3 linked regions of the Oryctolagus cuniculus genome follow. The protein of the gene in region 2 interacts with the protein of the main gene of each other region in a pairwise test. Links are inferred from orthologs where the notes say so. Each region holds a gene or a part of one and is shown on either strand. Other genes may lie near its edges. The genes, in order: CPNE2, UBA3 and IMPA2.

What was found.
Region 1: the proteins of UBA3 (region 2) and CPNE2 interact in binary tests that used the Homo sapiens proteins (3 or more experiments, as listed by UniProt). The two-hybrid records come from large-scale screens. The link is inferred for Oryctolagus cuniculus from reciprocal best matches to the Homo sapiens genes UBA3 and CPNE2.
Region 3: the proteins of UBA3 (region 2) and IMPA2 interact in binary tests that used the Homo sapiens proteins (3 or more experiments, as listed by UniProt). The two-hybrid records come from large-scale screens. The link is inferred for Oryctolagus cuniculus from reciprocal best matches to the Homo sapiens genes UBA3 and IMPA2.

What each region holds. Positions count from the first base shown.
Region 1 is NC_091449.1:40,737,863-40,741,507, reverse strand, and holds part of CPNE2 (copine-2), read right to left. Parts: intron 1,421-3,645; coding exon 1,241-1,420; intron 1-1,240.
Region 2 is NC_091441.1:80,257,122-80,261,374, reverse strand, and holds the start of UBA3 (NEDD8-activating enzyme E1 catalytic subunit), read right to left. Parts: upstream 2,862-4,253; 5' UTR 2,776-2,861; coding exon 2,756-2,775; intron 2,570-2,755; coding exon 2,528-2,569; exon of another isoform or gene 2,088-2,527; intron 734-2,087; coding exon 613-733; intron 1-612. UniProt on the Homo sapiens protein: Catalytic subunit of the dimeric UBA3-NAE1 E1 enzyme. E1 activates NEDD8 by first adenylating its C-terminal glycine residue with ATP, thereafter linking this residue to the side chain of the catalytic cysteine, yielding a NEDD8-UBA3 thioester and free AMP.
Region 3 is NC_091441.1:69,072,645-69,076,289, reverse strand, and holds part of IMPA2 (inositol monophosphatase 2), read right to left. Parts: intron 3,337-3,645; coding exon 3,203-3,336; intron 1-3,202. UniProt on the Homo sapiens protein: Phosphatase that can use myo-inositol monophosphates, myo-inositol 1,4-diphosphate, scyllo-inositol-1,4-diphosphate, glucose-1-phosphate, beta-glycerophosphate and 2'-AMP as substrates in vitro.

The sequences.
Region 1 (3,645 bases), on a different chromosome or scaffold from region 2:
GGGCGGCTAAGCCTCCACCTGGAAAGGAGGCCTGGGGCCCGGGGAGGACAAGACACTGATTGCCCAGAGTCCCAGCTTGGGTGGAACAGCCTTGTTGGCTCCCACCCTGGCGACAGCGGCCCCGAGTGCGGAGTGTATCAGGACAGGTTCAACAGTCAAAGCCGCACAGAGAGGAAAAGCAGAACACACCTAAGAGGCACCCTCCCTGCAGCCTCTGCCCCCTGTGGTCCCACCACCCGCCAGGCCATCAGGTCCTGTCCCCAGGCTGCCTCTGCCCTTCCCCCCTGCTCTGTGTCCCATGGACAAGTCACCCGGTCCACTGCCTCTGACTTCCCAGGGGTTAGCAGCGGGGCACCAGCAAGACATAAGAGAGCAGGAGCGGGGTGAGGAGGGCGGCCATCATTTGTGGGACGCTTTATTCTTGCTCCTGTCCCCAGATCTCCCACCCCTGGCCACGGCCCTCACCTGGCCGGCCCTGCCCCCTCCTCTGCGGGGCCCAGGCTGGTGCTGCTACCTGTGCTGGTTCCCTCTCCCCTTGCCCGTTCCTGGCCTCGTCTTCCTCAAGCCCTCTCCCCACCTCTTCCACCTTGTACCCGCGGCCTGGCCTTGGCTTTTCTGGCCCTGTCTCAGGAACGGCTCGGGGCCTCGGGGACGGCTCAGGGCCTCGCAGCCTCCACCGGGACCTCCTGCGGCACTTTCCAGTGTAGGCTGCGCAGGGCAGTCGTCACTGTCCCCAGGCAAAATCCGGAGAAACTGAGGCCTCGGCCGAGGTGGGGGCTTGCCAAGGACACAGCTGTAGGAATGATGGCGATTTGGGCCAGGAGCTCCTAGCCCCGCCCCTCCCAGCCTCCAGAAGCTCATCCAGGACTGAGCTGGAAGGGGCAGTGTGGCCCCGAGAGAAAGGAAGTTGCTCAGGGTCACACAGCTGGCCCCCAGAGCAGGACGCTCCTGGCCCAGGAGAGCAAGACCGAGCTCTGGCCATGCGGGGCCCCATTCCTGTGTGGCAGCGATCGGGGGGCCCTGTGGTTGGCTGTTCCCACAGATGGGCGTTCATTAGCCTGGCACGCAGCCCACCAACCTACTTTCCCCTTCCCCTCTCTAGTGTCTGCTGGCCCCCAGCAAACGGGGCCAGGGAAGGCAGGTGGAGAGGGCCATACCCGGGGGCCGCTCTGTCCTTGGCGTCTGGGTGCCACCTGGGGGAACTGCCCGCCTCCTGCCCGCCACGAGGGGCCCGGCTCACCGTGCCCAGGCTGCAGGAGAACTGGCCCAGGAAGTCGTGCTCATCAAGCTGCATGCTGGACTTGTCCTGGTCGAACAGGGCGAACTTGAGCTTCTGCACCTCCTCGAAGTGGTAGTCAAGGACGAACTTCTTGGAGAAGGCGGGGCTGAGGTTGTTGATGGCCGTTTCTGTCCTGTCATACTGGCAGAGGGCAGGGGGATGGGACGCAGCCAGGGTGGCTGGTGTCACCCCCTGGGGCTGCCGGGAGTCATTCCAACTCATTGAACACAGACTCTGTGCCTGGCACGCACAGATCCTATCCGTGCAGCTGAAGCCATTGCCCCCTGTAGCTCACAGATGAGGACACCGATGCACAGAGAGGGTGAGGCACTCACCCGAGACTGAACAGCTAGGTGGGCAGAGCTGAGATTCAAACTCAGATCTGACTCCACAGTTCTGGCTCCACACCCAGCGCCAGGGTAAGAGCTGGGGCCCGGCCCTGCCTGGCTAAGTGACAGAGCGGGAACCCCTATCCCAGGTCTGCACTGTAGCACAGGGGGTTAAACCTGCTTGTGATGCCGGCATCCCACGTCAGAGCGCCCCTTCCAGTCCAGCTCCCTGCTAACACACCTGGGAAAGCAGTGGAAGATGGCCCAAGTACTTGGGTCCCTGCTACACATGTGGGAGACCCGGATGGAGTTCCTGGCTCCTGGCTTTGGCCTGGCTCAGTCCTGGCCTCAGTCTGGCTCAGCCCTAGCTGTTGTGGGCATTTGGGGAGTAAACCAGTGGATGGAAGATTTCTCTCTGTCACACTGTATTTCAAATAAATTTTAAAAAAATTCCATTTCCTCCATCCAGGCCTCATTTCTACTTCTGAAAAGGGCAGAGACCTATCTGGTTTTCATACTTTTTATTTTGGGAAAACCTTCTTTTTCTCAACCACGTTTCAGACAGCAGCTGAAAGAGGAAACAGGAAGGAGAGGAGGAGGGGTCATGAGTGCCCCCACCCCCAGGGCCCAGGTATTTGTGTCTTCAATAGATTCCTGGATTGTGCAGCCCAACCCCCGCCCTCCCCTCCCCCCCAGCGCCTGGGTGAGGACAGCGCCCCCCCACTCACCACTCCCCCCAACCCCCGCGACAGGGGCCCCGCCCCCTGCCCCTCCAGGCTGAGGCTGGAGTCTGGGTGACTCTATTTCCGGGCCCAGGCTGTGTTGATTTTTCCCTCCCACCCACTTCGCTTCCAGGGCTTGAGCAGCAGGAGTGGAAGAGGTCGTGGCCCTGGGCTATTTTTAGCCAGGGTGGCCAGCCTGGGTGGGAGCCGGGCTGGCCGGCCAGGAGGGTGTGCGGGTGCCTCGAGTGCGGGGTGCCCCTCCTTGAGGAGCAGGTGGGGGCTCCAAAGGCCTGGCAGAGAGGACCAGCGCCTCGGCCACGCTCCCCCAGGAGTCAGCCTGCCTGTCTCCAGCTGTCCCACCAGCGCTTGGCGACAGAAGTCCCTCCTCACTGGGCCCCGACTTCCTCTCTGTAACGGGTCAACAATCCCAGCCCCATTTCCTTGGCATCACAAGCAGGCGCCAGCGTCCATGGAAACTTTGCAAGCCGCAGTACTTTCGGCTGGATGCTCAGTGCGGCCCAGTCAGGTACTGAGAAACAGATCTGGGCACACACACACGCGTGCAGACCAGCTGGGGGCCGCGGCCGCTCTGCTAACAGAGTTTTCCCTGGTGTGTGTGTGTTGGGGTGGGGGGGTGGGCTTGCAGCCACTGTGGTTTTCTTCTCGACTCTTCTTTCTCTGGACTTTCCCAATTTACTACAAAGAATAGAGTTTCCTCTAGGAACAGGAAACAGAAAGCTTTCAAAGGCGCCTCAAGCCACACTCACCCCAGCCCTTAGGCCGGCATCTTCCAGCTCAGAAGTCCTGGCGGGGGCACCAATACACCCAGCGCAGGGCCCCTCTGAGGTAGGCGGGGGAAGGAGATCCCCAGGCGGAGGCAGGTTCAGAAAGGGAGAGTCACTTGCCCCAGGCCACCCAGCAGGGCCTTGGGCCAGCTCCACCATCCAGACCTGAGCTCCTCACCCCGTTGGCTCCCCACTACATTCATTTAGAAATCAGGGGGCATGGGCGTTGGCCCAGTGGTTAAGGTATCACTTGGGGAGTATGCACCCCGTATCAGAATGCCTGGGTTCAAGTCCCACAAGTATGCCCATTCCAGCTTCCGGCCAATACACAGCCTGCGAGGCAGTGGGTGACGGCTCAAGTACTTGGGTTCCTGCCATCCATGGGGGAGACCTGGATTGAGTTCCTGCCTCCTGGTCTCGCAACTGGCCCAGCCCCTGCCACTACGGGCATTTAAGAAGTGAACCAGTGGATTGCAGCTTTCTCTGTCTTTTTCTTTCTCTTTCTTATCTCTTAAATAGAAAACCACATT
Region 2 (4,253 bases):
AACTCAGAAGTCTTAACATTAAGAGTACTACAATATTTCTCTTTCAAAACAGTATCTCTTAAAAAAAAAAAAGCTACAAAAGGACACAAGTACTTACTGTAAAAATACTTTTCTTACTTTCCTATACCTAATGAAAAACAGGTATCTAATTGAACATTTTCTTTAAGTCAGACATTATCAGTCAAAAATTCTATGCCACTGTTAGCACTCATATAATTTTTGACATGCAACTAAATATATTCAATTCTAAGATAATCCAACTAAATTCCAAAATTTAAATAAGCATATCTATACTTTTATCTTATAGTAGGGCTACTGAAGAGGAATTTGTCTCAAATCATTTTGAACTGGAGTTTTAAGTATAACAGAATTTTTAAAAGTTATGAAGTTATTTTCCTCTTGAACTCTTTCAACTTATATTACGTGAGAAATGTGAAAATTACTCAAATATTATTCACTCAAGTAAATTGTAAATATACAATTGAGTATTTCAAAATACTACGTTTTATAAGAAAATTAGTTTTCATAAGAGCAAATTAAAAAAGGAAGCATTTTACTATGTTTGAAACATAAAACTATTAGAGCAGTTATTTAAAAATAAACGTTTCTCACTTCAGTGCTCGGTTCGAAATCAGGGTGTGTGAAGGGTCCAGATCGCTCGAGGAACTTCTTTACATGGTTCCAGCGACCTTCCCAGTCTCCAGTGTCCCCACACCCACCATCAACAGCCATTCTGCACAGAACACAGTAAATTCAGCTGCAAAGATCAGTCCGGAAAAAAGCCACACCTACAGTTATTATGGTTTCCCCAAATGAAAAGACCTGCTCAAACAGAAAGGGAATGATCAATGTGGTCATGTCTATGCTCTCCTATCACTTGTCTATTATACGGTTCACTTAAGAACTGCCTGTGATTGCTTCTATTTTTTTTTTCTTTTTATTTCATCCACCTGACAAAATAAAATCAGTCTACCTGTTCCTCAAGTAATCCAAGGTCAAACTTGGGATGTTGGTCTATGGGTAAGAAATGGACTTGTCTACATGTGGTATTTACACAAGACCACAGCAGCCTTCCCCAGTATGTTCTTTCAAGTCAGCTGATCTGGCAATGTCATATGCATGGGAAAACAACAAAAGGGACACTCTAAGAACTGAGGCTTCAAATCTACCACCACCCATGTGTTCTTTATTTTCTATTGAAAGGTGTGATTCAAAGATCATTTCTGATGACAGAAGCTTTGACATGGTTTTCTCAGAAACAGGAGTCCAAATTTTCAAAAATTACTGAGTCCTGTGAGGTGGTTTCTGTTGCCACTACAGTTAAAAAAAAAAAAAAAAAAAAAAAAAAAAAAAAAAACTCAGCTTGTCATCACACCTAGAAACCTTTCAGGATATACAACTGCATAAAGTGGGACTTCTCTACCAAAGTGTACAAACTGTCTTATCAGTGCCAAGATTCATATCTGGTTGTGGTTATTTTTTAATTTTCTACTTTCAAGTATGTTGGTAACACCCAGAAGTATTGCATAGTAATAAAGACCATAGGTCTTGATGCGCAGTCGGGTTTGGCTCCACAACTAATAGCACCATGACCTTGAGCAGATTACTGAATAGCCATAAACCTCAACTGCAGGCTATTGGGAGCAACTTCTTAGGGCCAGGAGGATAAAGCGATATTAACACAGAGGACTTAATAAAGGATGGGGCATGTCGTGCACTTTGTGCAAAAGTGGAAGGGAAATCAAAGGTGAGGAAAGTCTGTCATTCCAGTACTCTAAGCAGTTGAAATTCAAGTTCTGGGGGAAGAGACCTCAGGATGACCAAAGCACCAGGAATTGGCAGAGAAATTACAAACTCACCACACCCACTGCGAGAGTATTTTCCACTCCCATGTAGGGAGGAGAGAAATTATGTGGCGCTGGCTCAGTCCGAAAACACTGTGTAAATCTGTCCCACCAGCACAAAACTAATCATCTGGTAAGACACGGGGTGTATGGTAAGTGGGGAAAAAATAAGCTGTTGGTGTCAACACCCTCCTTTAAGAGTCAATTATTTCGCAGAAATGGTTGACGTGCTTAGTACAGTACCTGAAACACAGTTTTCACACACAGTGTGCACTATTGTCTCAGTGTTTACGAAAGGCAAAAACAAAACGGCCCCGTGTCCGTTAGGTGTGTGTGTAAGTTGGATTCCCTTTTCACAAGCTCAAGGATATGACAATTTGGGATGGAGGAAGAGGGGGGCACAACGGTCCTTCCGCAAAACCTTTAAGTCAGACGCCCCGGCGGCCCCTGAAGGCCCTGCAGGTGCACCCCGGCCCCGACGCCCGCCGGGGCACAAATCTGGAGTGGCCCTCGGGGGCCCCCGGGGCTGCTGCGGGACCGGGGTCAGGGGAAGAGGCCGCGCGGCCTGAGCTCCGGGTGCCCCCCTCCCAGCCCCATGGGCCCGCTGCGGCTGGTCCCCTAGGCCTGGGGTAAGGGGAGGCGGGGGTCCCCGGAGAGGGCCCCGGCCTCCCGGCAGCACTAACTTCTCAGCCAGCAGCTCCTCTATTCTCCTTCTTTTCTTCTCCCTAAAAGAAAGAGAGAATAAAAGAAGGGTCAGCATCACGCTACACATTGGGCGCCGCGAGAGGATGGGGGGCGAGGGGACGGGGTGGGGAGTGGAGGGGACCCCGGGTGGGGGCGGCGACCGCCCTCCGCCGCGCTCTCTCACAACCCAGCCCAGCCCGGCGCGCCGGCAGAGCCCCGGTACTTACGGCTCCTCGCCATCCGCCATATTGTTCTCCGCCTCTTCCCAGGTGCCCTCTCGGCGGGCGGAGTCGGCGGGAAGGGGCGGGACTTGTGGGAGGGCGGGGCTTGCAACGATGGGGAGGGGTCGGCTGCGCCTTAGCGCCCCTGGGCTTGAAAGCAAGCGTCCCGCTGCAATTAGGATCTTAATTAGCTACCCCTCATTAGATAACTCTTATGCCCTGTGTAATGTCACGCAGGGTGAAATGTGGACGCAAAGCATTCTGTTTTTATACAATGTATATGCTGATAAAGAATTACATATAATGTTGGTATATTCAATGAAAAAATGCCTGGAAGGCTAACTCCAGTATGCTAGAGCTTGCCTCCGGAGCAAAGAACCGTCCCAAAAATCTTTGCCTGTGTAGGTCCACACTTTAAGAACAGATTTAAAGGGGCCGAAGCTGTGGGGTAGCAGGTAAAGCCACCGCCTGCAGTGCCGGCATCCCATATGGTCCCCGGTTTGAGTCCCGGCTGCCCCACTTTTGATCCCACTCTCTGCTGTGGCCTGGGAAAGCAGTAGAAGATGGCACAAGTGCTTGGGCCCCTGCACCCACGTGGGAGACCCAGAAGAAGCTCCTGGCTCCTGGCTTCTTATCAGCATAGCTTCAACTGTTGCAGCCATCTGGGGAAAGAACCAACAGATGGAAGTTCTCTCTCTCTGCCTCTCAAAAAAGAACAGATTTATCTAAATCTGTTCACAGGAGTAGGATAGAATTTTGTTATTTTTTTACTTTTTGAAAAAAATCAGTATTTTAGTGTCACTTCATTCTGTCAGATAAATTCAGCAAAAATGGAACTATACTGGAAAACTTTGAGGACATCAGATAAATATATGTATTTAGATAGAAGAAAAATACTTAGAAAGCAGGAAAAATTAAAAACTGACTTAGAACACTCATAATCCCATCACCTAAAGATACGTGTGACAACATTCTAACTGCTTTCTTCCAGTGTCAGAAGTGTGTATACATGTATAGGTGAATCTGAATGCTGGGGTAGAGAAATATATTCAAACACACGGACATATCCTTCTTTGGAGAAGGACACCAGTGGATTTGAAGTCAGAAAGAACTAAATTTAAGTTGTTACTTCTCAGTAATTAACTATAGGACCTTGGGCACTTTCTTTTAAAGCAGTCATTTTAAAAAATGCTTGGCCTTTTGTTTTTTGTTTTTTTGGTTTTTTTTTGTTTGGTTGGTTTTTTTTTTTTTTTTTTTTTTGGTTGTTTCTGTTTTTGGCCTTTTAAGACTGAGAATTAAGCAAAGTGGTTCTCAAAACACAAGGCCTGATCAACATTACTTGGGAATTTGTTGTGAATCTAATCCAGCCCTGGATGATTCTGAAGTCGTAAGCTTAAGAACCACTGAAATGGAGAAGTATTTTTTGTCTAATGGGTACGCAGCCTGCGTAGCTGCTGTTACATTAGTGCGATGTTTACTCTGTTCTTTGTGGTCTTCTCCACTG
Region 3 (3,645 bases), about 11 Mb from region 2:
CAGCAGAGAGCTGGATTGGAAGTGGAGTAGCCGGGACTAGAACCAGTGCCCATATGGGATGCCAGCGCCTCAGGCCAGGGCGTTAACTTGCTGAGCCACATATTCAGCTTTTTGAGGCACCTAAAGACTTCCCTGGGATGTGGGGAGGGAGGCAGGACTTTTATTTACTTAAACCTGACTTCCTTCATGTAGGAAGCTAACACCTACAGAACAGGAGAGAACATTCCAAGGCTCTTGGCAGAGGGGGAGGGAGAGTCCACGCCACAAACCGTATCCTGCACAGACTCAAGTGTGAAATAATCTTTCATAAAAGCTGTGGAACAGCTACATAAAAATCTACATGTAAGTTGCAAAAAAAGAAAATCATGGAAGCAGATAAGAAAACAGCAGCTGGGTTCAGGGTGAAGTGTGTGACTAGGGAGAATGCTACATTTTGCGGCCTAATTTAACTACTTCCGTTTTCTCTTGGTAGTTGCAACAAAGCTTCCTTATAATTTTGACAGCCAAGTGCCTGGAGACTTTGCCCGTGGCTACTTCATCTGTTTACTCTATGACGGAAGGTTTGGGTTGTCCCTTTGGTCCATGAAGGACAGCTGATGTTACTCAGGCTATCTTCACAAGCTACTGCTCTGTCCCCACCGGCCGCTCTGCAGGCTACTGGCCCCAGGCTGGGGAAGACTATGATCAGGTGTCCAGCTGGGGGTGGTGCGAGCATGCCTGTTCCATGTCAAGGCTCTGTGTTATGTTCTGTTTGACGCACAGATGAACAGACACTGCTCTGTGCTGGGCACACCGCAGGACACTGGGTCCCTCTGCGGGCTCTGACCAGGGCAGCATAGGCGGCTGGACAGGCCAAGCAGCTCAGGCTGCCGCCTTCTTCGTGTCTCAGCTAGCCCAGACAATCTCGGACCTGGTTGGACGATCTTAGGAGCAGGCGTTGTGGCGTGGTTTATATCACCACAGAGCCACGATGCCACGAGACTTTCAAAGCACCTACGCTTGCATCTGACTCCAAATCACCAACTGAAAACAGTTCGGGGATCCAACAGAGCTGGGGCCTGCACTGAGCTGAGCTCGTGTGGTCGGTGTCAACAGCATGCTCTGATGACCCAACCTGCATCCCAGCCTCATGGTGCTGGATTACTTTGTGCCATCATCACGGCAGGTTAAGGCAGCTGCTGCGAACTTGGGGACGGCCGTGATGTCATTGATATTGTTTTATGGGGGTGGCCTGTAATGTGGGGTAGTGGGTAAAGCTGCCACCTGTGATGCCAGCATCCCATGTGGGTGCCGGAGTGTGTCCCGGCTGCTCCAGCACAGTTGATAAAGCACCCAGAAATGGCTGACTGGTCGCTGTTATGTACTGAACAGGATTGGGCACCCCAAACTCTGCAGATGTTTAAACCCCAAAGTCTGATGGCGTAGTGCTAGCGGCTGACGGATCAGGGTCGGGGCTTGGTCTGAGGCTGGTGCCTGAAGGTGGGGCCTTTGGGAAGTGACTAGATTGGATTCGGTTGCATGTGGGGAGCCCCAGACTGGGTTGTGATGGTTTAGTCAGAGGCACTCAACATGGAAGGGGAGCCCTTTGCTTCCTGGCTCTCCCTCCAGGCACCCTTCCCCTGCACCTGTTCACATCAGATGCAGACTAACAAGGCTGCCCCATGGTGGCCTGCAAAACTTCAAAAACTCCCAGTGGAAATAAAGCTTCCCCCTCCCTAAGAAGCTCCTCAGAGGTATTTTAGTTCAAGTAACAAAAGGCTGACTAATTCGATTCCTGTAGCGTTTTTTCCTCTTAAAGAGTAAAAGCAGTCCATAGGGTACAAGTCTTGTGACACTTGTGGCGTAGTGGGTAAAGCCGCTGCCTGCAGTGCCGGCATCCCATATGGGTGCTGGTTTGGGTCCCGGCTGTTCCACTTCTGATCCAGCTCTCTGCTATGACCTGGGAAAATAGTGGAGGACGGTCCAAGTCCTTGGGCCGCTGCACTCACATGTGAGACCTAGAAGAAGCTCCAGGTTCCTGGCTTCAGATCGGCCCAGCTCCTGCCATTGCAGCCACTTGAGGAGCAAACCAACAGATAGAAGATCTACCCCCCCTCCCTGTCTCTGCCTCTCTGTAACTCTGCCTTTCAAATAAGTAAATTAATCTTAAAAAAAAAAAAAAAAGCCAAGAAGATGACAAGCATCTGTTTTAACAGGGACCCTGACTTCAGGCAGAATAAGAAATAGGGATGTCAGAGAAGCTCACACACAGAGGTTGTCAATCAAGCAGAACAGGCACGAGCCTCAGGCAGAGCCTCCCAGGAGTGCTGCTAACCCTGAGAGCACCCAACTGGGCAGGGGAGGGGGGAGGGGTGTTTCCACACCTGCCTGTTCCTTGTCCCCACAAGCACTCACGAGCACCCTGTACTGAGCCTCGTGTACACTCAACAGGTGCAGGGTGGGTGTCATATGTATCACTGTCACCTAGGCTTACATAAACACAGACCTGACAGCTCCTGTAACCTGTGCCCAGGAGTCTGACAGCTAAGACAGCAGTTCTGGGACTCCAACACCTTTAAGAGATCCTATACAAGGAAGAAAAGAGACTCTTCACATCCCAGTGCCTCAGAGACCCTGCGCTGAAGAATAAATCATAATTTGGGGTCTGTGGCTTCCCTGGAATCATAGGCAAAATACCACATCAATGTTTTAATTGATGCTTTTTAACTGTTTGCATCAGGTTCTCCATACGTAACCCTGGAAAGGCTGAGAGCTTCCGGTGTGAAAGTGGTCTCTGTGAGGCCTTCTGGGGAACTCTCCCCATGTCCCCCACACGTGTTGGCCTGAATGAGGGGGGTGTGCATCAGTGACCACTGGCTGTGTCCCATCCTGGAAGCCTGCCTGGGCAGCAAGTGGCCCAGCCAATGGGGACATCGGGCAGGCGCAGCCTCTACTGCATCGCTGCACAGAAGAGCTGGGGACCGAGGAGCAGGGAGCTCCCCCTGAGAATGGGTTGTACCAAGAGGGAGCTTTCAACATCTGTCAGGTGCGACACTGACGTCACTGTCGTTGAGAAAACAGGACACAGAACGGAACCCGAGTCTGTCTGCTTCCCAGGGGCCTGCCCCTCACCGACAAGTGGCAGGGCCTCTGGGTGAGGTCCTGGCTGCTTCCTGAGCGAGGTGGGTGCCACGGGGTTATGCACCCCGAGGCGTACGCCTACCTGTGCGAAGGAAACCTCTCCCGCAACTCGGAAATGATTAAATCTTCCACGAGGTGGTCTGTTTCTGTCACGAGATCCGCAGCTGAGGTCTTCGTGGAGACGCGCTTTTCCTCCGTGAGCGCCTTCCTGATGATCTGCAAAGAAGGCACTGGGCTCAGCTCACCACCGTCCCCTCCTGGAGCAGAGCGCTGTCAGCTGGGGCGCTCACTGGACCCGCCATGCCCCGCCCACATCCCGGGGCTCAGTGCCACACCCACAGCTCCCAGTCGCTATTTTTTCACAGGCTCACTGCTTCAAGTTGTTTTGCCCTAGCTGTGAACAGTTTTTCTATAGAGCAATGTGCAACTTTCACCTACAAGAGCAGCCCAACCAAGACCCGTGCTAACTTATGTGCCCCCTATTCCCATATATTTGAATGTGTGCATTTGGGTGTGCAGTAAAAG